Lonchura striata: one gene and its partners. The protein of the gene in region 4 interacts with the protein of the main gene of each other region in a biochemical or structural test. Links are inferred from orthologs where the notes say so. Each region holds a gene or a part of one and is shown on either strand. Other genes may lie near its edges. The genes, in order: FCHSD2, CRHR1, NET1 and MAGI1.

What was found.
Region 1: the proteins of MAGI1 (region 4) and FCHSD2 form a complex in vitro, tested with the Homo sapiens proteins (2 studies listed by BioGRID and IntAct, with this or other methods). The link is inferred for Lonchura striata from reciprocal best matches to the Homo sapiens genes MAGI1 and FCHSD2.
Region 2: the proteins of MAGI1 (region 4) and CRHR1 form a complex in vitro, tested with the Homo sapiens proteins (2 studies listed by BioGRID and IntAct, with this or other methods). The link is inferred for Lonchura striata from reciprocal best matches to the Homo sapiens genes MAGI1 and CRHR1.
Region 3: the proteins of MAGI1 (region 4) and NET1 form a complex in vitro, tested with the Homo sapiens proteins (3 studies listed by BioGRID and IntAct, with this or other methods). The link is inferred for Lonchura striata from reciprocal best matches to the Homo sapiens genes MAGI1 and NET1.

What each region holds. Positions count from the first base shown.
Region 1 is NC_134604.1:18,202,748-18,209,992, forward strand, and holds the start of FCHSD2 (F-BAR and double SH3 domains protein 2), read right to left. Parts: upstream 3,011-7,245; 5' UTR 2,877-3,010; coding exon 2,856-2,876; intron 659-2,855; coding exon 561-658; intron 1-560. UniProt on the Homo sapiens protein: Adapter protein that plays a role in endocytosis via clathrin-coated pits. Contributes to the internalization of cell surface receptors, such as integrin ITGB1 and transferrin receptor.
Region 2 is NC_134627.1:1,368,961-1,375,884, forward strand, and holds the start of CRHR1 (corticotropin-releasing factor receptor 1), read right to left. Parts: upstream 3,020-6,924; 5' UTR 2,643-3,019; coding exon 2,604-2,642; intron 1-2,603.
Region 3 is NC_134607.1:71,735,438-71,742,706, reverse strand, and holds the start of NET1 (neuroepithelial cell-transforming gene 1 protein), read right to left. Parts: upstream 3,016-7,269; 5' UTR 2,938-3,015; coding exon 2,845-2,937; intron 1-2,844. UniProt on the Homo sapiens protein: Acts as a guanine nucleotide exchange factor (GEF) for RhoA GTPase. May be involved in activation of the SAPK/JNK pathway Stimulates genotoxic stress-induced RHOB activity in breast cancer cells leading to their cell death.
Region 4 is NC_134614.1:18,543,246-18,550,690, forward strand, and holds the start of MAGI1 (membrane-associated guanylate kinase, WW and PDZ domain-containing protein 1), read right to left. Parts: upstream 3,016-7,445; coding exon 2,730-3,015; intron 1-2,729. UniProt on the Homo sapiens protein: Plays a role in coupling actin fibers to cell junctions in endothelial cells, via its interaction with AMOTL2 and CDH5. May regulate acid-induced ASIC3 currents by modulating its expression at the cell surface.

The DNA of each region.
Region 1 (7,245 bases), on a different chromosome or scaffold from region 4:
GTTAAAAGCAAACCTTTAATTTCAGGAGAATCAAATCATATTAGGTAAAAGAAATAATAAAACCCCCACAACTGATGTTGTGTGGATTTTCTCTATTGTTTTGAACCCATTCAGAGTTTTAAATTATAAATGCAAATATCTTCTTGTAACTTTCTGGTAAAAAATGCAATCTGCTTGAAAGTGATTTTCAAAGCTATCTCTAGAGAGACATAAATTATCAGTGGCTTTAAAATATTTTAGTAATTTTAGCAGCCTTTTACAACTGGTAAATCAAAGTCTCAGTATATTATATAAATAAATATTGCTGAAAAGACCAATGCTTTCTGGATTGTTGTTTGTGAGTTTCTTTTAACATTTCCCCCATTGAAGAAAAGAAAAAAAAAAGGGTTTGCATTGTGTTAGCTCCAGTTATAATTTCCAGCTGTGTCAAAACTTTAACAGCCTAAAAGCAGGAAATCCAAAGAGGAAATTCCATCGTCAGTTCCTGAATTTTGTAACTCAAATGTTCTTCCAAAAACTGGACCTTAAAGGAATTTTGGTAACATTTTCTGTAGCCTTACCTGATATCTTCCAGTAGGTCACATTCTGCCTGATGCTTGGCCTGAAGTTTTGTCATCTGCTCAACCTGAACGTTTTTCAGCTCTTGTGTAACTTTTACCTACAAAAAAACCAAACAAATTCAAGGACCACTTATATTTTCTGCAGTTCCAGTCACATTTCAACAAGAAAAGAAACAAACAAGCCCAAGGATCACTTACATTTCCTGTAGTTTAAGTCACATTTCAATAAGAAAACAAACAAACAAACTGGGAAAGGCTTCAGAAGGCTGGCTTTACATTTTTAGTACTACTGTAGTTTTCCTTTGAGCCTTGTGATCAAAATTCCAATACTTTGGGATCATCCAAAATTCCAATACTTTGGGAACCTGCTTGGTAACTGGCAAGGAGCACCAATGGCACAGGTATAGGATTTGGTTTTGGAAGGTAACCTTGGAATTGTTTTGTTCTTGTTTTTTTATTAAACAAGAGGTCTTGATATTTAAGCCCTCTAGTGATCACAGGGAATCCACATATCGGCCTAAAAAATGACCACAAATATCTCTGAAGACATTATGAATTCATGAGGATAGAAGTGCCAAACCATTACTGCAGAGGGATGAGAAATTAACAGAGGAAGAGGGCACCCATCTCACTCTTCTTCACTAGCCAGGCAAAAAAAAAGAAATCCTGAATCTCATCAGCTTCTCTATTTTAACTCTGAAAACCATGCCTCAGCAACAAGCACCCTTTAATGACAACATCACATAAAGACAAATTTTTCACATGACACCAGAAAAATAAATCACATGTATGTCTCTGACTTTAAGCAGAAAAAAATGTCTATTTTTAATGTGAACTTTCAGCATTTTTGGTTTTATCTGTGTATTAAAAAAAAGCCCAACTCAAAATAAATAAATCCACACGACACAAACCAGGTAATGGAAATAATCGCAAATGAAATAGTACAGGCAAAGAACGACAAACATGTAAAATAAATAAACTAAAATTGAAATAATTGAAATGAAATTGGTTTTGTTTGACAAAATCAGAGTCTGCTCCTAAAATAAGAGGCTGAGAAGCAGGAATGAGAGACCTTCATTGCAGCTGCCTGCCAGGGCTACTGGGGAGCTCTGGGCATGACAAGGGAATCCTGTTCATGTTCCCTCCTCTCCTGGTCACTGTTGCAGGGCTTTGCCAGGAGCAGAACTGTCCCCACAGAGAAATCCCACCGAAAATCTCCACGGGGCTGCAACCATCACAGCCAGAGCATCCCCAAGCGGGCAGGACCGCGGACATGGAACAGGCACAGGTCTCAGCCCCACGGAACCCCTGCCCGCACAGCAGCAGCCTCTCCATCCTCTGCAGCTCTGCCTTCTCCCTGCAGCCCCACATTCCGCGCAACCCCCAGAACGTGCCCAAAAATCACCCCGGAGCAACTCAAGGCAGCTCAGGTCTCCCAGATACCAACCTGCCCAGCCAGACAAGGCACAGCGGGCACATCCTCTATCCCAAATTTCCATTCCCGCTTGCCTCCGCTCCCGCACCAGTCCCCCCGCCGGGCAGCAGCCCACATTGCCAGGGACCGCAGGGTCACCGAAGAGCCTCCCCGGAGCATCGGCATGTTGTTCCCCATCGCACGTGGGAACGCGCGTGGAAATGCTGCACAATTCCGCCTGCCCCTGCTCCTGTGTGCTCCTGGCACACGCCGGGACAGGCTGCGTCCCTGGATCAACTCCAGACGTGACCTCCTTCCCCAAGACAACCAACCCCTCGTTGCTGGCACCGACGCACCGCGGGAGCCCCCAAAATTCCCGTGGGAGCACCCCGCAGGCAGCACGACCTCCACGCCCCCGTGCAGCCGAGCCCTCCGCAGCCGCTCACCCCTCCCTGCCCTCCGTCTCCCTTCTGCAGAGGGGGGTCCCCAAGCCCCCCTGCACCTCCATCCTCACCGGCGCGTCCCCATCCCTGCCCTGTCCTACCTCCGCAGCTCGCTCCCAACCCATCCCGCCCCTCCGTGCCCGGTCCCCAGCGCCCCCCGACATCCCCCCACGACCCACCTTGCACGGCCACCCTCGCCAAAGCCCCCCCGGCCCCCAGCTCTCCGCCGAGCCCCCCGCTCCCTTCCCAACACTCGCGCTCCCTCTCCGAAGCTTCCCGCAGCCTCCCCCGCCGCACAGCCCACCCTGCGCCCCCTCCCCGCGGCCTCGGACCCCCGAATCCCCCCGCAGCCCAAAGCACCCCGCCCCACGCCGCAACCACCGCTCGGCCGCCCCGGCCCCTCCGCAAACAGCCCCCTGCGCCGGGCGGGGGTCTCACCTTCCTCGGCGGCGGCTGCATGGTGCTGGTGCTGCGCTGGGCATCCACATCAATTCCCTCCCCCCGGCAGCAGGATGCGGCCCCCGCTGCAGGAGGAGGAGCAGCAGCAGGAGGAGGAGCGGGGAGCGACCGTCTCCCTCCCGGTTCGGGGCGAGTCCCGGTTGGCGGGAGGAGCGGGGAGGGAAGGGAGGGAGGCGGGGAGGGACGGTGGGGGGAGGCCGCCTCTTCCTTGCGGGCAGCGGAGCCGCGTCCCGGCGCTGGGGAGCGGCGAGGGGAAGGAGGCGACGGAGGGAGAGCGGGGAGAGACTTCGGGAAAAGATGTGGTGGCGGAGAAATAAAAGGAGGAAGGAAAGAGGAAAAAAAAAAAAAAAAAGAAAGAAAGAAAGGGAAAAAAAGAAAACAACAACAACAAAAAAAGAAAACAAAACCAAAAACCAACCCAAACCAAACCCGACGCAGCGAGAGGCGCGCGGCGGCCGCGCGCGCCCCCCAGCGGCCGCCCCGGGGCCTGCACAGCCCCCGGCGGCCGCCATGGCCAGGGGCGGGGCGGGAACGCCCCCGGCGCGCGCGGCGGCCGCGGGGGGGCGCCACGGGGGCGGCGGCCTGAGGGGAGGGGGCGCCGTGGGGACGCGATGGGGGCTTGGGGTGTGCACAAGGGGGTGTGTGCGGGGGCTGCGGGGTGTGCGTGTGTGCACAGTGGGGTGTGCACAAGGGGGTGTGTGCGGGGGCTGCGGGGTGTGCGTGTGTGCACAGTGGGGTGTGCACAAGGGGGTGTGTGCGGGGGCACAGTGAGGGTGCGGGGCTGTGTAGGGGGTGGACAAGGGGGCACACGAAGGGTCTGGGGTTTAGCAGAAGGAGGCACACGAAGGGTTTGGGGTTTGCACAGGGGGGCACACGAAGGGTTTGGGGTTTAGCAGAAGGAGGCACACGAAGGGTTTGGGGTTTAGCAGAAGGGGGCACACGAAGGGTTTGGGGTTTGCACAAGGGCTGCACAAAGGTGAGGGTGTTTGCACAGGGAGGGTGCAGGCTGTGCATGGGGCAGTGAAGGGGGGTGCACAGGGAGTGGTCTGGATGCTGTTGGGGTGCTCAGGGGTACAAGGAGGTTCCCAAAAGGGTGCAATGCCCTCCAAAGCACTATCCAGTGCAGGATCCACACACCGGGATTGGTGTGTAGGACACAGCTGGTGGAAATCTGGGGTTCTCCCTGGCACAAAGCAGCCATCCCCTTCTCCCCAGCACTTTCCAGGCTGCTCTAACAAAGCTGGGCAGCAAGGGCTGGACTTGAGCTGAAGCACATGAGGGAGCATCACCCCCTGACAGCAGCTGGAGAATCCCTTGATGGAGAATCCCAGATCCGGGTGCATCCCAAGGGCAGCACTCTGGGAAGCAGAGCACCCAGACACGAGCTTTTGCACGGGGTTGGTTTTAAGCAGAGGAAAATAAAATAAAACAAAGCTGAACTCTTCAGCATTGCAGATGCAGAGAGCCCAGGAGGCAGAAGTGACGCTCCCAGCTCTGTCATGTTTCACTGAGCGTGAATTAAACACCCCTGATCAGAAGTACTTTTGGGTTTTAACCCCCCTCTGCAGCACTGAAATTCCTGGCCATTGCTTATTAGTTCTGCTGCTACGAAATCTTTGAAATATTAACATGCATTTGGCTGTTTCTCTTAAGCAAATTCTGGGGCAGTTTGCAGAGCGTCAGGCAATTCCCATAATTGTATTTTCCCAAGTGCTCCAGCGTGCCGCAGCTCCATCACCAACTCCTTCATTATTGATGAGATGCTTTGCTCCAGCTCCCAGAAAATGACCCCTTGCCTTTAAAGATGCTTTAACCACCTTTAAAACTAAAATGCAACTTGAATTCTGCTTCCCCCTCCAGCTATTAGTTTATTTAGTGCTGCTAATTAGTCCTTAACGCTTTCTCCGCGGGAAGCTTGAAATGGTTGCTGAGACCTGGTGCAGCAGCAGATGCTGTGAAAAAATATTTCATCTCCTTTTTAGGGCTGCAAGGGGATGGGATCTGTGTATGCAGCCCTTCATGGAATCATGAAATGGTTTGGGCTGAAAGGGACCTTAAAGCCCATCCAGTTCCACCCCCCTGCCATGGGCAAGGACACCTTCCATTTGCCCAGGCTTTTAAAAAATCATGCCCAGACTCCTGCATGCTGGACTGAGAATTACTTTAGGTACCGGGCCTACACGCAGATGTATCATCCTCCCTTATGATGCATTTGTTTTTCCACTATTTGCTTGTATTCTTCCATGAATAATTATGTTTTATCTGTTTGACCACAGATTCCCTGAAGCCTGACTCATGGAGTGCTGCAGGTTCGGCATGAATCCTGGAGGATTTTACATCTGGGATGATAAATCCTGATGGAACTGCCTCTTGTAGCTGCCCATGGCTCTTCCACATCTTAATAATAGTGCTGATAATAGGGGAAAACAAGGATGTGAAATAAAGATTATCAAAAAGTCAATAGTATAAGTGTCTAAGTGTTGTATATTTTATCAAAATACTTGTTTTCACAGCATAAATGGAATCCAGCTTAGGCTGAGCCCTTATCCCTTGATTTCTCCTTTCGGAATGCAGGACCTGAAGGCAGTTGAGTCTCATGGAATTCCAGAATGGTTTGGGTTGGAAAGGACTCTTATGGATCATCCAGTTCCATCCCATGCCATGGCCAGAAACACCTTCCACTGGACCACTTATTATTTTATATTTTATTGACCTTTATTTTATCTTGTTTCATTTAATTTAATTCTGTTTAATTTCATTTCTTTTTATTTCATTCTATTTCATTTCATTTCATTTCATTTCATTTCATTTCATTTCATTTCATTTCATTTCATTTCATTTTATATGAAGGAGGGTGCAGAATACAGCCCCAGAGCAATACACACCTCTCAGGGAACCCCAACAGAGATGAGGCATCAAGGCTGGAAACCCCAAAAGCCAAATTCCAGCTGATGGTGACAACCCACAGCTGAAAACAGCCGCTTATTCCCTCATCCAGAATAAAAATAAAAGGAAAATAAAGAAGAATTTAGCCATAAAAGCAAAATTTGGAGAGGACCTTTAGGGAGCAGAGTTCCCTTGGTTCCCATCCTCAGGCAAAGACAACTTGTTGGATCCCAGCTCCCAAGCAGCTGCTGCGCTGTCCCGTCAGGCCTGTTCATTCTTCACATCTGAATTTAATCCCTGCAGGGGTTTAAACCTTTTCAAGCACAAACCCACGATGTGTTGGAGGGTTCTCAGCTGCCAGGACGCGCTTCCGAGTGGAATCTGGCAAGCTGGAACCCGCGCTGGGCCCGTGATTAACGCGCGAGGCAGCTCCGCTGCCAGAGCCTTGGCACAGCCACTTCTCCAGCCGTGGATTTTGCCCACAGGGCTGGCAGGAACACCCCTGGCAGAAGGGTTTGCTCACCAGTAGAGACCATGGAGGGGTCTCTCCTGCAGCACAGCAGCTTCCTCTGGAGAAATCAGCTTTTTATGTGAAATGTATGATATTTAATTGTAGCTAATATGAATGGTTAGGAATGTCATAGAATCCCAGAATGGCTTAGTTGGAACATCCTTAAAAAAAAAAAATCTCATTCCATCCCTGCAGTGGGTAGGGACACCTTCCATTACCCCAGGCTGCTCCAAGCCCCAATGTCCAACCCAGCCTTGGACACTTCCAGGGATCCACAATTTCTCTGGGCACCCTGTGCCAGGGCCTCACCACCCTCATAGCCAAGAATTCCTTCCCAATATCCCATCTATTTCCTCTGTCAGTGGAAAGCCATTCCCCCTTATCCTGTCCCTCCCTCCCTTGTTCAATGTCCCTCCCCAGCTCTCTTGTATAGGAATATTTATTTTGTATTGTGTGTGGATATATATGAATGTATAAGAATTTATTTGATATTTAAATGAATATATAAGTAATAAAAAGCTTAGTGGATATAATGATTGAGAGAGACATGCACATAGACTCATAAATTCATTTATATTGGAAAATTCATCAAATATCATATATAGATAAGAATAAAATAATGGGGAAAAAAGGAAAATCAAAAAGTGAATAAAAGTATAACAAATAAAAAATAAAGTATAAAATTATCTGAAATAATTAACCATAATCTCCATAATGTTCCCAACCACTCCCAGGAGCACGTAAAGCCAAAAATTGAGTTTGGCATTATCTGACATCCACAATTCTGTTCTGTGTGTTTCTTCCAGGCTTTCGAAGCTGATGGTGGCACTGAGCAAGGTGTTCCCAGCCTTTCTTCAAGGCCTCCACGCAGAGGAAAACTCAGGCTCCAGGCTTTCCCCACGCGGGGGTGCCATGGGGATGCGGATCACACCGCTCCTACAGCCGCGGCAAGGGGACAGGTGACACCTCAGC
Region 2 (6,924 bases), on a different chromosome or scaffold from region 4:
GTTCAAAAACTGTTCTCACAGACAAATCCATGGATGCAGCCTCTCTAAGCACTGCAGACTCAATTGCAGCTTGAGCTTGTCACTCACAATGAACTTCTAGGCTAACCCTGTGCAGGATTTTGGGAGCAGAGCTGGATTTCAGGGCAGGGTTGAGCTGGTGGTGCAGGATATTCTCATTGTATTCCTATACATCCTGTGGTGATAGTGCAGCTATTCTGGGAACAGGCTGTGCCTTTTCCATTCACTTCTTTGCTGGAGATGCAGAACCACAGGGATGATTTCATACACACTGAATCAACTCCAGCTTTTAAGGAAAGCAAGGACTGGAAGAGATCCCCAGGGTCAGCATGTCCTGCAACTGCAGCTCTGCATTTTATGCAAGGATTCAAGCATGGAAGGAGCAGGGGTTGTTTTTGGGCTTATTGCTGCTGGAGGTGGTCAAGTGAAACCAAATCATCAATCCCTGATTTTTCATAAAACACTTTGCAGTTCTATCAGCCACAGAAATGTCATTGGCTCCTGACAGAGATGCAAGTGGACTGGTTTATTTTTAATCACTTTTTTAGTTTGTTTCAATGACTTGCAAGGGTGCCAGGGAGCACTTGGCAGCAAGTTTGGCAGCAAGTTTGGCTGCCTATCTCCTAGTCTGTCTGTCCGACATCCTGAGGGATGTCTATTCAGTAAAGCAACATGGGCAAACTGATGCTAAAGTGGAGGTACAAACCAGGTGCACGGGGAACGCCTAAACTGTGCCAACCCAGTATCTGCAGGGGAGGTTTGTCCCTGCTGAGCTCTGGGTTGGAGCTGGGCTGCTGCAGGTCTCTGCACTCACAGGCAGGATGCTGCTGCAGCTATACCTGGCTGCAGGGATGCACTCATGGCTGGAGTTTCATGGTCCTTTAGTTCATGCTGTCCCCAAGAGAGGGTTAGGACTGTTCTGGAAAAACATCTGAGATTTGAATGCATGTATTTATAAGGAAAAATAGACAGCTTGACTGCAAAGTGGGGGTGGGGGGGGGTAGTTGTAGATTGGCTGTTTCTTTTTGGAGCCAGCTGGAGAGGCTTCTCTTTGTCTGGTCTGGTTTTTCTGACCCCTCTCTCCTGGTCCCAGCCAGAGTGCAGGGATGGTTTTGTCTCAGAATCTGGAAGGTTTGTGAAGATTTGCTGCTCCACCTTCACAAGGAGAATATCCTTGGGGAACACCTGGGGATGGCAAGGGAGTCCCCCTGAGCCTAAGGAGCTTTGACAGAGGATGGAAGCTGTGTATCAGCACCTCTGGGCTTCTTTTGTACCACTTTTTGCTCACCGAAGTTATTAGGAGCTGTCATGTTCACGTGGCTCTCCCCACCAGAACATGATCTTACTGCACTGGGTCTGTGCTAGACTGGCCAAGAAGGACCTGGGCTGGGGGAAAAGATCCTGCCCTGTGTCAGCTTTATTTCTTACATCAGAGCCCAACAAAACCTGAACCAGGGAAAGTAACAGCAAAATAGCTCCCATAAACCCTATCAATCAGGCTTAGTGGGTTACAGCAATAAGAGAGAGCAGCTGCTCAGAAGAGTTTTTAGAAGCAACACCAACTAGGCAGGAGGTCTCCTGGTGCTCATCAGCTCTTTTCATCATTTAGGTAAGAACTTTCCTGGCCCAGAGGTGCAGCTGACATGTGAGATACGCATTGGAGTGAACAGTGGGGTGCACAGCCTGCAGGGTACAAGCCGTAGTGGTGACAATGGGGAGAGCTCTCCCTCCACTTTACCTGCTGTTTTAACTCTGCAGTCCCAGCTGGGCCACTGAGACACCATTCTGCAGCCAGTCAGGCAGATTTGTTCTTTTACCCCTCCTTGACACAGAGGTTTTATCAGAAACCTGATCAATTTGTTTAACTGCCACTCTAGGCTTGTTCAAATAAAATTCAAGATTTCACTGGGAGACCCTTCATCTTGTTTGTCCATGGCTTGGGATTTAAACAAGCTTTGGGGCTGTTAATGTTTCCCTCCTTGATGAGCCCTCAAGGAGGAGGAATATTGCTTCTGACAAAGCATTTGCATATTGTGCAGAGCTGCAAAATTAGCAGTGGCTACAGTTCCACAGCAAGCAAATTAGAGAGAAAAAGTGTTGTGCTTTGCAGGTGCAGGGCAGTAAAGGAGAGGGTTCCTTAGAAAATTAATTATGGGAGGTACAACTGGACTGTGCATTTGCACTGTCCACATCCACCACACGCCCAGAGTGGCCACCCGCTCCCAGCAGCCTGGGAAACTGGTGGCAGCTGTTTTCACTGGGAGGTGCAAGGCTGGGAGTTACTGGGAGCCCTGGGGTGAGTTCAGGAGGACCTGGCTGCGATTCTCCCCCCCTTTAAATGATCCTTTCACTCACTTCAGCCCCCCTCCCCGATAGTCTTTGAGCATCACGAGATCTTGCTAAACCCCAGTGCCTCGACTGGAGGAATTCTCCCGAGGGCCCTTTGTGTTGCGGTTTCTCTTCCTACTTTTCCCGTCAAAGAAATTGAAAAGTCACTGCGGAGAACGCGGGCGATGCACGGCGTAGGGGTGATGGGGACGGGGCAGAAGGGCCCTTATGGGAGAAGAGGACTTAAAGCATCTTACCTGCAGGAGGAGGAGGGCAGGACGTAGGCTGGGCACCATCCTCAGCTGCCCCTGCGCCCAGCTCCCCGGGGCATGGCCGGCAGCGTCCCCGCTCCTGCCGGGCTGCTCCTGCCGTCGGGGAGACAATCCTCTGGGCTTCCAGCGAAGGAGCCTGGCGGGTCCCGCAGGGCTGCGCGGAGGCTGCGGGTCCTTCTGCGTCCCGGTCCTGCCTTTTATAACCTCCTCGGAGCCGGTCCTCCGGCTGCCCACCTTCCAGCTCGCCTGGCGATGGGCTACATCCCTCCTCACCAGCCTCCCACTCCCCCTTCTCTCCCTCCTCCTCCTCTTCCTCCTCCCCTTTTCCTTCCTCCACCTCCCTGGTGCCTTCCAACTGTATTTGATTTCTCCCCCCCCGCCCCCCTTTTCTCCTTCCCTCCCTCAGCATCTTCAGCAGCAGAAACTTCCCACCGGCCCAGGGACCGCCCTCCCGCCTCTCCTTGGAGGGGGTTTCTCCTCTCCACCCCTCTCACTCCCATCGTGCAGACGCTGTGGGGTCCCTCCTGTGGAGCCTGGCGGCTTCTTTTGTGTCTGCGAAGGCTTTGGGGCTGCATTTGCCGGGGATGAGGGGATGAGCGGGTGTTACACATTTGGGGATTTCGCTCCAGGGCTCTGTCAGAGGAACTGGGACAAGTGTCCCAGTTTCTCCCAGGTCCCCCCCGTCAGCCTTTGCAGCCCCTTTGCAAAACGGATGGTGAGCACGAAAGGAGGGCAGAGCCCCTTTTCTCTTCCACAGGGATGGGGTGGAAGGGGTTTCAGCCCTGCCTTGCGAGGGAGAGGCTCCTGAGGGAAGAACAGGGATGTGGGGCAGGTGGACTCGGGTCTTCCACACAGCGGGACTGTGCGAGGGATGTTTGATCACAAGGGTGGACCCGGAGGAAGTGGAGGTGCTGCTAGCACCGTGCTTTGTCCCGTAAGCTGGGTTGGTGGCAGGGGCAGAGGTGATGGGACAGGAGCAGGTGGGGTTTGAACTGATAGAGAAGGGGGGGAAGGGTGGGGAACAGTGGTGTGGGAGAGCCTGGATGATGCTCCTGAGGTCTTGCATAATGATATGTCCCTTCTCGCCTAGCATAACCCTCTGGCTTTAAAGGGTCTCCTGTCACACCTCTGTGTCTCAGCTCCTGCAGTTCCCTGGCAGCCATCTCCTGGTCTCCTGGGGAGGGATTCCACACACCCCTGTGTCCCGGGGTTGATATGGTCAGGATTGTGTCCATCCCTGAGTTGGTAGGCTGGGTTAAACCTGCTCCCCCATGCCAGGGCAGTTTCAGAGCATGCCTTCTGTACTCACTGAGGTTTAGGGGGGTGTCCCACTGTGGGTGCTCTGCGTATCCTGGGAGTGAGCCCAGCTCCATCAGCCTGAGGTGAGCTGGGGCAGACAGCCAGGCAACAGATTGTTGCTTCCTTCTTTCCTTGAGGAAATAAGGATCAATGAGGTGTACTGCTGGGAGGGGGGATGCTGGAAAATATTGCCATGGGACCACCATCTAGGGGTGTGATATTTCCCTTAGCTGATGACGCTTCATCTACCACCAGCCTCTCACAGGGTGCTGGATTGTGCTCCCAGCTGCAGGCTCTGCCTCTGGGAATGGCTGCAGACCACAGCAGGTTGCAGATAAATCAATAGAAGGGCAGAGTCTCTTGATGAATTCACGGCCACAGCCTCTATCCATCTTTACTGAGCTGCTCTTTGTCTCTGGAGCACCTGCAGCTGCAGGACCAAGGCACAAGTACTGAGCAGGGCTGTGTCCCAGCATGTGGGGGCACCTAGTGACCCATCCTGGCCCCCAAAGGGTAAATGCTCCTGGCCCAGTAATTAAGGGGAATAAACAACACAGACATAAATCTTTTGGCGTTAGCTGGGTTAAATCAATTGTGTCACTGCTTTGACAAAGAAATATGAAAATATTTAAATCTCTGGTAAATTCAGCAAACTTTTGTTTCTGAGATATCTTAACATCCCTCCTGTGACAAGTATGGGATGAGACAGACTCCAGAGCCACCCTTGTGTTACCTCTCACTTCAATAAGCCCATGGAAAATGCATAATTTTCTACAAATGGCTTGAGAAAGCTTGCTCCAAATAATTTTGAGCATCCTGGATTCAGCTGAGGGCATCACAGGATCATGGAATTGTTTGAATTGGGAGATCATGTAGTTCCAAACCCCTGCCATGGGACACCTTCTACCATCACAGGTCTAGGGCACAGTTCCTGGTCACAAAACACACTCTGGTTTTGGAGGCTGCTCAGGGCTTTGTGCACCCAGGGGACAGAAGGGACCTTGCAATGGGAAGCACAAGAGACCTTATTCCCACACCAAGACCAAGGATTGTCTTTCATCATCTCAGCCTGCCCATGGCCAGCAAGAAGGACATGTAGGATGGCCATGCTCTGCTCAGGTGCCCTAAGTATGAGGTGATGCAAGGAAGGCAGAAGTGAGCACTATTTTTAGTTAAGGAATTGGTTGCCAGGGACATGAAAATAATTCCTTCCCCATATATCAGGGAAAAGGCTGCAGTGTTGTTTAAAGCACCTAATTGAGGGGATTTATAGTAAAATGCAACTTGTCAGATGTGGCAAAGGAAAAATAGAACAGTCCCTGAGACACAGAAATCAGTCCATTTGTCACGGTTAATCTCAAACTTCTCGATGCAGTGCAGAGACAGATGTTGGATATGGCTTTTAGGGATGGAGACAATGAAGAGAAATATCGGATATCTAGGAAGGAGGGAGAGATTGAGTCTGACTTACCTGCCTTTGGTAAACTATTATTTTATGTAACTCCATGTGGTTTGACAGTCCTGTGTCTGAGCAGCTCCATGACAGCTGCACTTTGGGGCTGTTTGCAGGACTTACACCACTGCCCTGCTCCCACCCTGTCCCTGCAGCCAACCTTCACCTGGTTTGGGAAAACTCCATGTGTCCCTCCTGCAGTATAGGGATGAGACTGGGACTGTTCCGTGCACTGAAAGGGTGCAGGGAAATGCATCCTTGCTTCTCCCATGGAGCACTGGTAGCAGGGCTTTGCTTCCAGCTAGGACATCTGTAGGAGAAAATAATCCTCAGTGTCCTGGACATTTAGGCCAGTTTGGTGGAAAGGTGAGGTTTAGCTTCTCAGCTGAAATCCCAGCTGAGATCAGCAGTGTGCCTCAATTTCCCCACCTGTGTGTTGGGACTGTTTCTTTCCCAGGAGGTTGAGTGCAGCTGGGAATGCTCGGGGCACTGCTCAGGGGAGGACAGGCTGTCAGCACATGGGGCTGTGTTAGCAACTGCAGGCCAAGAAAAAATCCAACCCACCACATTGTTTCTCCCAGGAGACTTGTTTTTTGCCCCGCTTTTAAAATTAGTTTCCAGGTTTTCTGTCCTGTGTCCTTTTCCCTCCTCCTAGACCTGCAGTGAGGGGAACACTCTCTCAAACTCTGCCTGACTAAAGAAAGTAGCTGCTGGGATGAGGTTCCTCTCATTCCTGCTTACCACATAGTATAATCATGCCTCATATTTGAGTATCCCTGTTGTATTTGACCACTCTGTATCACCTGCTTCACCCCTGCAAATCTCAGGTGCTCTGAAACGAAGAGCAGGAAAGCTCAAGCCACAGCCCTGCTGAAAACATTGCAGGGAAAGAAACCAAAGATTGTTACCAACCTCATTCAGTGAGTATTACCTTAGAGCTGTGCTGGCAGATTTTCTTGAAGGCCTTGCAAATGCTTGGGTGGCCTCTGGACACTTCAGACCCCTGTTCGTCCCGTCAAACTCTGCTGGAGATGCAGAAGAGTCCATGCAGGAAGACAAACTAGTGTCCTGCTGGGAGAAGGAAAACTCAGACACATGGAGCTGGGTTTACTCTGACTCATTGCTCCATGCAGCAAGTGACTGATTCTTTCATTTACACGGATAAATCCCCCCTGCCATTTTTAATTCCCACACTGTGTGCATTAATAGGAGATCCCACATTTACAAAAACATGGCAACTGCAAACTCAAGGAAACCCACAAAGATTTGGGATCTAACTGAATTTCTCATTTGCTTCCCAAGTTTCTCAAAAGTGTTTGCCATGTTTTTCAAATTGCTTTTGGGAGGATGTGTCAGTTTTGAATATAACAGAAACACAAAAGCTTTTGTTCTTCAGCTAATTAAACCTCAAGGCAGAATGCTAAACTGATCATAATAAAAGTCATAATTATTATTTTTCTCATTCAAAGCAAAGTCAACTGAAATTTCCCAATCAGCAGTTGGCATTTCCCATCAAACAGATCACAGTGGTTTGTGGTTGGGAAAAACTCCATG
Region 3 (7,269 bases), on a different chromosome or scaffold from region 4:
TTCCCCTCTCTTAAAAGAGGAGAAAAAAAAATAATAATAACTAAATTCCCGCTTTGTGCCTGAGCGCTCCTCAGACACGGCCCGACTGCCAAAAAAAAATAAAAAAAAAACCCCATCTGGTGGTTTTTGTCCTGCTGAAGGTGGTTTGATCCAGAGCAGGGAGGAGGAAAATCAACCCCCTGTGCTGGAAGCTGCCCTCGGCTGAGCTCTGCGCTTCAGCCCGGGGTCACGGGCTCATGCTGCGGATAACTCGGGCTCAGGAGGGGCTTTTTTATAGCTCTGTACTGGCAAACAATGACTCTCCTGTCTCCACGCCTCACAGGAGCCAGATTACAATAAAGTCTGGGAGGTTTCTGAAACAATCCACGGGTGTTACAGCACTCGCAAATTATTAAAAGCCCAGCGGGGTCAACAGCTCCATCAGGAAATATGGTTTTTTCCAGAGAACTCTTTATTTAAAGTGAATTAATACATCCACAAAAGCTATTTTCGTGCCAGGAGAGATTTCACACCCCTGAAATCCCTTCAAGTGCTTCTAAGTGCAGGTTAACTCATGAAAAGATTGCACCTTGCTGGAAAGAAAACCGGGCTGTACTTTTGAGCAAGGATATTTTTTTTTTTCTCTCCGGCAGCACGCCCACAACCTTTCCCCTGTGCTGGGTAATAATTAAGTGGTTATAATAGTGGGTAATAATTAGTGGTTTTTACAAGGATCCCTTGCTCGAGTGCAATTCCTACGTGCGGCACACAGTTCACACCAGCCCCACACAAACACGGTGAGCAATGGCAAAACCACGCGTGACGAAAAGTTTTCCTACCCAGCCAATTCAGCAAAAATGGCATTTTAGTCAGCAGCCTGAATAATTCCTGCCAGAAATCACCGACCACCTGACCACCTCCATGGCACGGGGGCTTGCCGAGCCTCAGGCTGAACCATCAGACCTTTCCCAAACCCAACAGCCCATTCCCGAGTGGACTGCGGCTCGGACAGAGGTGTTGGCTCCCTTTCAGAATTCACAATTCGAGGCGATTGACTCCCCAGCCCAGAGCTCTGCTTTCTGTTATTTCTCCCCCAACATCTGGTTTCCCTTTTGCACAATGAGATTGCCCAAGTTTGGCTGTCGCCAAGCCGGGATTTGCTGAGGTTGGTGACTCGGCGCTGAGCCCTCGAACCTCAGCATGTCTGGAAACGCCTTTTTTTTCTTTCTTTTTTTTTTTTTTTAAACTTTTCCACCTCATCTCGCCACTAAGCTGAGCAATAAACCCAGCCCAAGGCAGCCGGGCCCTACCTGGCTGCTGAACTTTTGCTCCTGTCGCAATTATTGCCACCTGCAATAACGCCACGCCATAAAAACAACAATACTGCCATCCAACAAACCAGCCCCGCAAACCCCACCAGGGCTTTTGCGAAGGTTTAAGCAGCAAAACAAACAGCACCTAATTAAGAAAAATCCTGTCAGTGGAAAGAGCGCTGAGAGGCGAGCGACTTTTTAATGGAAAGAGGCGATTTCCAAATGAAAACAGGCGAATTTTTAATGAAAAGGCACCTGGGGGGGAGCGGGGTCAGGTGAGACACCGAGATTGGTTTTGGCTCAGGCTTTGGGGGCTGTGAGCTTAAATATATACATATACCTATCTATCTATATATCTGTAACGTATATATATGTGTACAAAGTGTATACATATGCATATAAAAAGATACGGACATATACATGGATTTAAACATATATACAGTTTATAAATCGCCGGGTGAGGCACCGACGCCTGGTCCCAGTCACTGGGGGCTGTGAGCTTAACCATACCGAAACAATAATTAATTAATTAATTAATTAAATAAATAAATAAACAAACAAACACGGTTCTGGCTGCCTGGTCCCAGTCTTTGGGGGCTGTGAGCTTAACCATACCGAAACAATAATTAATTAAATAAATAAATAAACAAACAAACAAACAAACAAACACGGTTCTGGCTGCCTGGTCCCAGTCTTTGGGGGCTGTGAGCTTAACCATACCCAATAAATAAATAAATAAATAAATAAATAAATAAATAAGGTTCTGGCTGCCTGGTCCCAGTCTTTGGGGGCTGTGAGCTTAACCATACCGAATAAATAAATAAATAAATAAATAAATAAATAAATAAATAAAGTTCTGGCTGCCTGGTCCCAGTCTTTGGGGGCTGTGAGCTTAACCATATCGAATAAATAAATAAATAAATAAATAAATAAAGTTCTGGCTGCCTGGTCCCAGTCTTTGGGGGCTGTGAGCTTAACCATACCGAATAAATAAATAAATAAATAAATAAATAAACAAACAAATAAATAAAGTTCTGGCTGCCTGGTCCCAGTCTTTGGGGGCTGTGAGCTTAACCATACCGAATAAATAAATAAATAAATAAACAAACAAATAAATAAATAAATATGGTTCTGGCTGCCTGGTCCCAGTCATTGGGGGCTGTGAGCTTAACCATACCGAATAAATAAATAAATAAATAAACAAACAAATAAATAAATAAATATGGTTCTGGCTGCCTGGTCCCAGTCATTGGGGGCTGTGAGCTTAACCATACCGAATAAATAAATAAATAAATAAATAATGCCTGGTCCCAGTCTTTGGGGGCTGTGAGCTTAACCATACCGAATAAATAAATAAATAAATAAAGCCAGCCACATAAAATATAAGTATACACAGAGATGGAGTTCAACATGGATATGTAGAGATAGTTTTTTGAACCGCTGGCTGCCCCGCGCTCTGCCCGCCTCGCCCCCTCCCCTCAGGCGCGAAGCTGAGGGGGCTCCCCCTCCCCACTCTCCCATTCCCGCCCCTCTGCAGCCCCGTCCCGCTCACCTCCTGCTCCCTGAAGTGCTGGTTCTGCGCGTCGATGACGCGGATAGTCCTTTTGATGGGCAGCAGCCCGCCGAGCTCGTCGTGCGCCACCATGGCCGCGGCAGCGCCCGACCCGCCCTCAGCCCGCGCTCATCGCGCTCTGCGCGCGGCGCGCGCCGCGGCCCGGGGGTCACCGCGGGGGGCGGGGCCACCGCGGCGAGCCACGCCCCCTCAGCGACAAAGGCCACGCCCCCTCAATGGCAAAGCATTGACCCCTCCGCGCTAAGCCACGCCCCCTTCACGCTAAACCACGTCAATCAATGCCAAAGCCACGCCCCCTCCACACTAAACCACGTCAATGCCAAAGCCCCCCCCCACACGAAACCACGTCAATCAATGCCAAGGCCACGCCCCCTCCACACTAAACCACGTCCATCAAGGCCAAAACCACGCCCCCTCCACACTAATCCACGTCCATCAATGCCAAAGCCACGCCCCCTCCACACTAAACCACGCCCCTCAACGCCAAAGCCACGCCCCCTCCACAACAACAATCAATGCCAAAGCCACGCCCCTCCACACTAAACCACACCCCTCAATACCAAAGCAACGCAAATCAATGTCAAAGCCACGCCCCCTCCACACTAAACCACGTCAATCAATGCCAAAGCCACGCCCCCTCCACACTATAACACGTCCATAAATGCCAAAGCCACGCCCCCTCCACGTAAAACCACGTCCCTCAACGCCAAAGCCACGCCCCCTCCACACTAAACACGTCAATCAATGCCAAAGCCACGCCCCCTCAACACTAAACCACGCCCCTCAATAACAAAGCCACGCCCCCTCAACACCAAAACCACGTCCATCAATGCCAAAGCCACGCCCCCTCCACACTAAACCACGCCCCTCAATAACAAAGCCACGCCCCCTCAACACCAAAACCACGTCCATCAATGCCAAAGCCACGCCCCCCGCGGCACTGCGGACCCTCCCGGAGCCCCAAATTCGTGTGGAATTCTCCCAAAAAAACCTCTCCCCCCAAAAAAATGCTCCTGCTCGTTCCTCTGAGTGCTGCGTGCAGCTGTGGCTGCTCAGGACAGGAGGGATGTGGGGATGGCTCAGGGCTTGCAGCATCTCCGTGCCCAGGAGGGGCAGAGGGGACATGGCTGAGGGATCCCATCCATGGGGATCCACATCCACAGGGAGCTTCCAGAGGATGGAGCAGCTCTGCTCCGGGCCCAGCGCTGGCACCAGGGGAACGGGCAGGGGCTGAGCCCAGGAATTCCCCTGGATGTGGGGCAGAACTCACAGAATGACTGAGCTGGGAGAGAGCTCCAGGAGCATCGAGATCCTGGCACCCAGTGCCACATCCAGGCTTTTCAAACACATCCAGGCCTGGTGACTCCACCACCTCCCCGGGCAGCCATCCCAGAGCTTCATCACCTTTCTGGAAAAGCTTTTTCCTGCTCTCCCACCTGAATTTCCCTGGGCACAGCTTGAGGCTGTGTGCTCTGGTTGTGTCAGGGCTGCCTGGAGCCAGAGCCCCAGCCCAGCTGGGCACAGGCACCTTCCAGGAGCTGTGGGAGCGATGGGGCCAGCCCTGAGTCTCCTTTTCTCCAGGCTGAGCACCCCCAGCTCCCTCAGCCCCTCTCCCTCGGGATGTGCTGAGCTCTCAATGTCCTTCCCAAAGTGAGGGGCAGAACTTCTGCCCTGGGCAGGGCCCGAGTCCCTCCCTGGGGACATTCCCGAGGCACCGGACCCTGCCCTGTGCCCTGGGATGAGTGGCACCGTCACCCCCTGGGCTCCTTTCCAGCCTCACCCATCCCGGGATTCTGTGAAAAACGGCACCAGGAGACTCTGCTGCAAGGAGGGCAAAGACTCTGTCCCATCCCACAAAGCCAAGCATATCTTTGATTTTTTTCCCCCCCTCATTTTTAGCGTTTTTTTCCTGGCACTTCCAGCCTGGCGGGACAACCTCCTTTTAACAGCAGCTCTCCTTGCCAACGCTGGAGTATATAAAACCTTTGCTGCTGCAAAATGTTTTTTAAAAAAATAATAATAATTCGTGTCTAGACCTGTGCTTTTAAGTGTGCTCTGAGCTTTAAAGCTGTGCTGGCACAGCTCTGGGGCTGGGCTGAGCCTCTCCCCCCGTCTCCCAGGGGAGCCTGTCTCGGCAGGCCTGGCTGGAGCTGCAAAGGGTTTGGATTTTCTATTTTCTGTTTGTTTGCTCAAGTCCTTTTATTCCTGGCACTGCTGCAAACCTCTGAAATAAAAGCTTGCTTGTGCTGGTAAAAATAAACTTGATTTGGCTGCCTACCTGTGCTGACCAAGCTGCCGCTTCAAGGGGAGAAATTTGGGCTGGGTTCCAGCAGGAGGTTTGCAAACAGCGATTTTTTATTTATTTTTTGTTTTCAGAGTCAGGAGGAAGAGAAAAAGGAAAATCCTGCTGTCCCCTCCCCTGGATTTCTCATTTTTGGCTTTGTTTGCTTCTCTCAGCAAATCTGCAGCCACTTAACCTCTGCCATGCACTGCTGGGACATGGAGGACTCCCAGAAATTCAGGATCCACCGAGTCTGCACTTGCTGAAAGGACGGACTGACTCTTCCGGACACAAAAACGCTTTCCTGAATTACCGAAATCCGCTATTTTTAACCCCAAAGAGCAGACGAGCCCTCCCTCGAATCGATGTTTTTTTAGAGGTTAAAATTTCTCCTAAAACCCGAGCTCCGAGCCGTGTCAAACTCAGGCCGAAGGTTCGGGAGTTCTCCTGCTGTGTCCCCGGGTGCCAAAGCTCCTCCTGCTGCCACCCCAGCAGCTTGGTGGCACTTGGTGGCACTTGGTGGCACTTGGTGGCGCGGGGTTGAGCTGTCCTCGGTGATCCCTGGCTCTGTGGTGACACCTGGGCAGGTGAGGGTGACACGCTCCTGGATGGTGGGGCCAGGCAGAGGGGTTGGTGTCCTGGGACGTGCCCTGCCTTTGGAGAGGGCCTGGGAGCCACCAACGCGCCCAGGAGCCGGGCCACTCCGGGGTGGGATGGTGTCTGGGGGGCAGGTGGATCTCTACAGGTCATCAATGACAGTTTTGGGGAAAATCTGTCCTGAGCGGTGGAGATGAGCGCCATAAACCCACCCAAGGGATGGAGATAAACACCAAACATCCATCCCAAGGGATGGAGATGAGCACCATAAACCCACCCAAGGGATGGAGATAAACACCAAACATCCATCCCAAGGGATGGAGATAAACACCAAACATCCATCCCAAGGGATGGAGATGAGCACCATAAACCCATCCAAGGCATGGAGATAAACACCAAACATCCATCCCAAGGGATGGAGATAAACACCAAACATCCATCCCAAGGGATGGAGATGAGCGCCATAAACCCACCCAAGGGATGGAGATAAACACCAAACATCCATCCCAAGGGATGGAGATAAACACCAAACATCCATCCCAAGGGATGGAGATGAGCACCAAACATCCATCCCAAGGGATGGAGATGATCACAAATCCACCCAAGGCATGGAGATAAACACCAAACATCCATCCCAAGGGATGGAGATGAGCACCATAAACCCGTCCAAGGGATGGAGATAAACACCAAACATCCATCCCAAGGGATGGACATGATCACAAATCCATCCAAGGGATGGAGATAAACACCAAACATCCATCCCAAGGGATGGAGATAAACACCAAACATCCATCCCAAGGGATGGAGATGATCATAAACCCATCTCAAGGGATGGAGATAAACACCAAACATCCATCCCAAGGGATGGAGATGATCACAAATCCACCCAAGGCATGGAGATAAACACCAAACATCCATCCCAAGGGATGGAGATGAGCACCAAACATCCATCCCAAGGGATGGAGATGAGCGCCATAAACCCACCCAAGGGATGGAGATAAACACCAAACATCCATCCCAAGGGATGGAGATAAACACCAAACATCCATCCCAAGGGATGGAGATGAGCACCAAACATCCATCCCAAGGGATGGAGATGATCACAAATCCACCCAAGGCATGGAGATAAACACCAAACATCCATCCCAAGGGATGGAGATGAGCACCATAAACCCGTCCAAGGGATGGAGATAAACACCAAACATCCATCCCAAGGGATGGACATGATCACAAATCCATCCAAGGGATGGAGATAAACACCAAACATCCATCCCAAGGGATGGAGATAAACACCAAACATCCATCCCAAGGGATGGAGATGATCATAAACCCATCTCAAGGGATGGAGATAAACACCAAACATCCATCCCAAGGGATGGAGATGATCATAAACCCATCCAAGGGATGGAGATAAACACCAAACATCCATCCCAAGGGATGGAGATGAGCACAAACCCATCCCAAGGGATGGAGATGATCACAAACCCATCCCAAGGGATGGAGATAAACACCAAACATCCATCCCA
Region 4 (7,445 bases):
CCAAAACAGGCAACTATAATGGCACAGCTTTATTCTCAAATGTCAAAGCAAAAAAGGGAGCATAAGGGGAAAAGGAAGGGAAAGCTCCATTCAAGTTCTTTAACCTTCTTCACTCTTCCTCCCAGGGTAAGCAAAGGACCAAGAAATCCCATATGTCCAGTATTAAACACCAGTATTTCCATTAAGAGATTTCATAGAGGTTCCTCCTTTTTGCACTTATTTTTTAAACTTACCACTCACAAAAGCAAGAAGAAAATGTTGTACGTGAACCTGTAATTTTACATACTCTGGTTTAATGATAAAGTCCATGCACAGCCTATTCAACCTACATTTCCATCCTAGTCTCTTTCACCAACAGCAAGGTCAGAACCGTTATTTTCCTGCTCATGCTTGCAAAGGAGTGACTTATAGTAAATTTCCTGTTTTTCCAGCCTTGTAAATGTCATACAAAACAGACAGGCAATAAAATGTATACATTTCCAGGCTAATATTGCCCCAGCACTTCAGCACCAATCAGTTAGAAACTACAAACTCGGAGGAGGAAAATCATAGTTAAAAACTTGTTTACAATCTTATCTGCACACTCCTTGGCTGTCTGCTCTAGTGCCACACTTTTCCTGTTGATTGACAGTTGCCATTGCCATAATCAGATTTTTAATCAACACAGAAGTAATGAATTTTAATTAAAATACTCTCCTTTTCTATGCTTATAATTCTGATACATGAGGGAGATCCCTGCTTTGCACAGAGCAGCGTGCAGATGCCAGGCTACCATTGACAGGTTTTCCAGACCACAAAAATGTTTAGAGATTTAAAAACCAAATATTTATTTATATTCCACATTCTTGGCTAATAAACTATTTCTTAAAAATATGGAGAAAGAAAAAAAAAAAAAAAAGAAACTACAATCCCACAGTAACCAAGGGCTTGGTTCTCAGCTCTAGATGGGAATAGTCCAAGGTTTAAGTGCCTGCCCTGACTTACAACCCTTTTGAACCCTTTTCTCCCACTTTCCAGGTAAACCCAACCAACACACTAAAACTCAGCTCTCTGCCCGTTCTTTTGACCATATCCTGGAGCAGAGACACATTTACCACCAAGTTCTGCCATGTGCAGTTTATTCCCAGGACATGTTTTATTTATACTAACTCATGTTTCCAAAACAGCAAAAAGTTTGATCACAAATTGTTTGGTTGGGAAGGGTTTTACACACACCTTCCTTCCACAAACACAGATCACATTGCAACACCACAAGCTGTACTTTAATACTTCTGCTAAAACAATCAGTATGTAAAAAAACCTCTGCCTAATTTCCTCATACTTTTCTTCATGCTTTTCTCCCCCTCCTGCTTGGGCAGGGAAACCAGCAGGCTGAGTTTCCCTCACCACTTCCCAGTGGAGTGAAGGCAGCAGGGAAAACAGGCATTTTTTTAAGAAAAACTGGGTATTTTGGAAGTTTGACAGCGTTTGCTGGAATGTTGCTGCTGAGTCCTGCAAGGGACTAACAAATCGCTGTGCTTTGGTGGCTCAGCTCCGGGCAGGTGGTGGAGGGCAGTGCTCAGCCTCAGCTCCTCTCCGACTCCATCGCTGTCATCTGCTCGCTCCGGAGGTTCCAGGGATGAAACAAGTGCCTGCAGCCCTTCATCTCAGCTCACCCGTGAGCCCAGGGACAAGACTTCAGGTGACAGTCCTGCCAGCTGGCCAGAAATTCTGTCTGCAGCTACCAGCTGGGTTGAACGAAGTACAGGGAAAAAAACCCCTCGCACCACAAGCCAGAGCGAAACCCCCACCTTTAGGATGCACACGTCTGGATGACAAACTTTCCCCTAAGGAATCTCTCGGGCAACACGAAGAAAACTTCCCTTCCTTCCTGCACTTGGAGCTGACCTCGGGGAGCTCCTGCAGCTCTCACAGCTCCGGCTGTCCAGCTGCAGTCCTGCTCCTCCTGGTCCAACCAGCCTCGGTGGCTGCCGCAGCACCAACAGCTTTTTGGCACTACATTGAAGTCCTGTCCTGGAAATCACAAACCCATTAGCCAGGCCTGTTAGCTAACCTGTTGAGCGACTGTGGAGTGTACACGGATGTGGAGTGGCATCTTTTAAATCCAGCATGGGAGCACTCTTCCTATCCTCTTCCTCAGCCAAACAGGAGAGCTACCTATCTGTTCCTTCCCCTGTGCGCTGCAGGGCTGGCAGCACGGATGTGCCCTCACCTAGGGTAAACCAGGGGGAAGAAAGGTAAATCCGAGTAGCCTTTCAGCCAGAGAGGGAAGATGCAGGAGGGTCCAAGCTTTTTCTTCCCACGCTGGCAGCCGGCAAACACACGCTGCACTTTCGGAACAAGCTCAGCAGCTCCAAAGGATGCTCAGCTGCTGGAGGAGGGGATCCCTCCCCATTCCCCCAGCAGTGAAGCTCCCTCAGCCTCTCCAAGGGTCAGCCGGACACCGAGCTCCCCCGGACAAGCGCGGGGTTCCCGCAGGGAGCGCCGGCAGCTCCGCGGCGCCTTTGGGAAAGTCTCACGCAATTGCTCGCTGCGCTTAGCGCAGGGCAGGGACTGCGGGGCGGCTGCAGCCGGCTCCGGACGAGGAGGTGCCTGTGCATCAGTGCCCTCGCAGAAGCTGCGCACACGCGTGGGTGCACCGGCACCCGCGGCTCCGTCCGCCCCGAGGGGCTGATGCTCGCCACCCCCGGCCACCCAGCGCCGCGGGTCCCCCCTCGTCCCCCTCGCACCTTGTCGGACGGCTTTCACCACGACGGGGTCCTTGCAGCTCCGGATCACTTCCAGCACGTCGTAGCGCGGCAGCCCCGACACGCGGACCCCCTGCACCTCCAGCAGCAGCTCGCCCTCGCTCAGCGCCGCCTCGCCGTCCCCCGCCGCCGCGCCCGCGTACGGGAACTCGCCGTGCTCCGCGCCGCCGAGCAGGGCGAAGCCCAGCTGCCCGCCGGGCCCGCGGGTCAGCGCGCACTGCCGCACCCGGCTGGACCAGTGGTTCTTCTTCTGCACGACCCGCGACATGGCGCTGCGCGTCCCTCCGCGCCCGCGGAGCGCGCTCGGCAGGTGCGCAGGGGGCGCGGACCCGCCGCCCGCTCAGGCCATCACCGCCCGCACGGCTCCGCGCCCGCGGAGGGCGCGCACCGCCCCCCGCCCGCCCCTCCGCGCCGTCCCTTCTCCCCTCTTATTAAGAAAAAAAAAAAATTAAAATTAAAAATTATTCAAAAGCGCCGAAAAAGCAAATCCGGCAGCCGCGCGGTGTTGCCGCCCCCTCTCCGCGGGCGCTGCGCGGGGCGCGGAGCCTTTGGGGCGATACAAAGCGGCGTTTGTTTTGTTCCAGTTCGGTCCGTCCCGCTCCGCCGCGCTCCGCGCCGCCGGCGCAGGCGCCCTGGCACGGCCCGCCCCGGCACGGCCCGGCCCCCGCCCGCTCCCCGCCCCCGGCACGGCCCGGCCGGCGGCCCCGGCTCCGCCCGCTCCCGCGCACAACTTCCCCGCGGGGGGAAGCGGCCGCCGGGCCCCTCGGGCCGCGCCGAGGGGGAGCCCCCCGCCTGGAATCCTCGTTCTCCGAGCCGGGCCGGAGCGCGGGTGCTCTGCCCCGCGCCCCCGGGGATGCTCATATTGCAGGGGACGGCAGATCTTTGCTTTCCCGAGAGGATTTCTAGGATTTTCCCAGTTGCAAACCACTTCTTACCTGCGCTTTCCAGGTGGTTGTTACAGGAGAGGACGCAAATACAAATCCCGAGGAGAAACTTGCACAAGCCCATCATTAAAATGGTATCAAAGTGCTTGCGCGAGGCTGAGTGAGTCTCTCCTACTCTTAGTTCTGCACTCCGGTTTTTGATTGAGTGCTCGAATTTGAGACATTAATAATGTTTTCACATTGTCCTGTCCTCGTTGTTTAGAAGCTGGGACAGACTAATAGCGAGGTCTGGCTGCTGGAGAAAGGGATGGGCATCCATTTGTTTGTCCTTCGCCAAAACTCTTCAAAGTTACCCAGAACTGGTGCAAAACTCAAAACGGGAAAGTAAGAGTGCACGTACCAGCTGTCCCTTCCAGGTCATGCTCCATGCTTCCAAACCTGAAAGCCAGGCCTCATTTCCAGCAGTCTTATGCATGACCGAACCCCTTCCAGCGCGGAATTCACTTGTCAGACGTGTGCGTGCCCTATTTTGCCGCTAATCGGGACTGAGGAGTGACACAGGGAAACAAAGAGTCTGGTCTGGCTGCCTGTGCTGCACTGATGTGTGCTCAGACAGCACAGCCCGCAGACTTTCACTGCTGCCCGCCTCGCTCTTTCATCGCTCATCCCCCCAGCCGAGCGTGTCCCGCGGAGATCCGGGATGCGGGAGGGGCGGCAGGCTCGGGGAGCATCGCTGCGTGGGGAAACAGCTCAGCCTAACATCGTCTGATGCTGGCCCAGCTGATCAGCCGGCTCAGCGCACAGAGCTCAGAGGTGACCGGGATTCTTTCCCTGCCCTCGCACCTGTCCCGGATGGAGCTGGGACGCCTGTGCTTCCCTCACCTCCTGCATTCCATGCTCCTTTCCCCAGCTGCAATCCCTCATCTGGCTGTCCTGTAGAACTCCATCGCTGCGGACGCTGCTCTGCCGCCGCGGGAGCGCAGTCCCCGGCCCGAGTGGCGCAGCCACATCCCGGCACGGGAATGGAAGGCTCGGCCAGTGTCACACAGCACAGCAGTGACCCCGCTCCATCCCCTGTGCCTCAGGCACCTCTGCCCACGGGAAGCAGATGGGATTACAGAGCTCAGGAAAGTCCTTCCAACCGAGAGGCAGAGCCTGCCTTCCCGGGTAGAAGTGGACTCGTGAAGTTCAGTGTACCTGCTGTGTCTAGCCCTCACTTGCTTCCAAGAGGTTTCTTTCCATTTGGAACTTTCATATATGTTTTCATCCTTAAAGCTGTGCTGATCCCTTATGTTTGAGCAGCAGTAACTGCCTCACATCTGCTTTTGCTGGCTCAGTAACCAGCTGCCCCATTTGTCACTTTTAGGATGACAGCACGCTTTTTACTGTGCCTTCACCAGTAAAGAGTGGATAGGTCATCAGGCTGGATCCCCTGGGCAAGAAATGCTCCAGAGGTCTGTAGACCCTACAGAACAGCAGCATAGCTTGTGGGGAAGGCTTTCTCTTTCATCTGTGCACTGGGTGATAGTTGTGTCACACACGTGAGCTCATGGTGCAGGGAGCCCCTTGTTCACAGCCCAGAGCTGGGTGTGACGTATTTTCATCATCATTTTGCAGGATGTCTTATGTGACAGCCCTGCTAAGCTAAAAATCATCTGGGTTCCATGTGAACATCACATGAGCTGTGGTTGCCCTGAATAGATCTTACGGAACTACTCATGCCTCATGGAAAAATTTTTGGAAAAGACTGTTTGGAAAAACAAGTTTTGATAGTAAAATTTATGAGATGACAGACTTCCAAGGGCCCTTTTCAGTTTGCTTACAAACACTGCAACTGTAATGAAAGTGAGCTGTCCCCATTGTAATCCTAACACTGTACCCATGTCTGGGCCACTGTGTTCCCAAAATTGTTCTTGCTGACAATTAACAAAACCGGCAACTCTCAGCCAGAACTTCATCTTGATTTTCAGATTTTCACTTCAATTTTTATCCTGGACCACTTTTCTACCATTTTATCACCTTGTTGCATCCAGGTGGTCAATCTGGAAGCTGGCACTGCTTATATCAGCTCAAATACAGCCAAGGTTTTTTGTTGTCCTGATTGCTGTGTGACTGTACTGCACCTTACTGCTGCAAGGAGATTATTTCAGGGCACAGCTGCTCCAACCACCTCTATTAAAGGAAGCTCTTGGTCAGCCTTTAACAGAACTGAGCCTGGCTGCTCCTGCCCAGAAGGGTCCCTGACACCAGCTGATGGATAATTGGGTGATTACTGCATACAAACCTGGCACTGCCTCTCATTGCAGAGCTTGGCCTCTCTCCCAGGGACAGTGGTCCTGCTTTGCAGGGGATGGATTTAATGATTAACAGACTGTCTTCATCTCTGACAACTGCAGTTCTCATAATGACACTCTCCTTTTTGTGAGGGTCTCTAAGCACTTCACAAAGAGTAATTAAGGAATCTTCAGACACACCCACCTGGGGAACAGCTGAACATGAACATGGGGCAGGGAGAAGCTCAGGGCACACTCCTCATCTGAGAATGGCTCACTGCAGCCATCCTACTTCACCTGCAGCAGCTGGTCCAGCCTCATCTCATGCAGGTCTGCATGCTCTTCACCAGCCCACAGCCCAGGACAGCGCTGTGAAAACTGACTTGGGTGGGCTCAGGCCTTTAACCAGAGCCTGATTCCCTTACTCTTTTTTCTACAGCCACTCCAACCCATGCATTGGCAGCTGCTAATTTGTCAGGATGAGAAGGCTGCTGCTTTCTTCCTCCTTCAGCAGGTGCTCTGCATGCTTTGGGCCCTGCTACAAACATACAACAGCTCAAATGGTTCTTTCAAATAGGATACTGACCCATGGTCTTGGTCTCAAACGTCTCTGAAATTTCGTGCTGTGTCCTGGATTCTAAAATGGGTCAAAGCTCTCCCATGCATCAACTCATTCTCTCAGCTTTCCTACTGAAACTTGAGGAAACCACAGTTTGACTTTTTTTGGAATGGAAAACCATGTCTAGTCACTGAGAATGTTGTGGGTTTATGGCAGTTCACAGCCATGTACTCCCACCAGAGAGCATAAAGATGACAATGATTAAGAGTACAAATGAAAGTACAGCTTATTTAATACAGCAGAATTACTGTTAATTTCCAGATAAACCCCAAACCTTTGATATCATGGGCCTCAAGGCTTTGAAGACCTCAGCATATAAATCCTGGAAAAAAAAAAAAAAAAAAAAAAAAAGAGAAAGTTTTTAAACAAGATCCAGTCTCTCAAACATTGATTGAAGTTTCCTGTGGGCACACTCACACTACCAGAATATGTTAGTAGAAAAGCCATGTATTGTGGTTATTTCCCAAACAAGAATTTTTTTATATTAATCCCACTTAACTTTTACTGGAGGAGAATTTTCTTCGCAGCATCCAGGCTTTCTCAACAGGCTGGTGCTGCTCTCTGGTAGCAAGGAGGAGATGGGCTGGTGCTGCTTTGAGTCCTGGCCCTGGCAAACATTTCAGCAGATAACCCAGCTCCAGGTACTGAACAAACCCTGTATTTACAGCAAACCTTCCAAGTGTCAGGACATGAGAAGCTCTGGTGAAAGCTACTGACCAGCCAGCACAGACAGGTCCTGCTCAGGGACAGAGCTGGGCCAGCAAAGTCCATCCCAAAATGCAGCCCCTGTGTAGGGCATTTCCAGCCTCTTGCAGCAGGGTGGCTGGAGCTCCATCCAGGGCTGCTGGCTCAAAGTGAATGTGACCACAGGATGCTGGGAAGAAAAAGGAAATTCACCCCTTAGTGGGACTTCATGTCACCT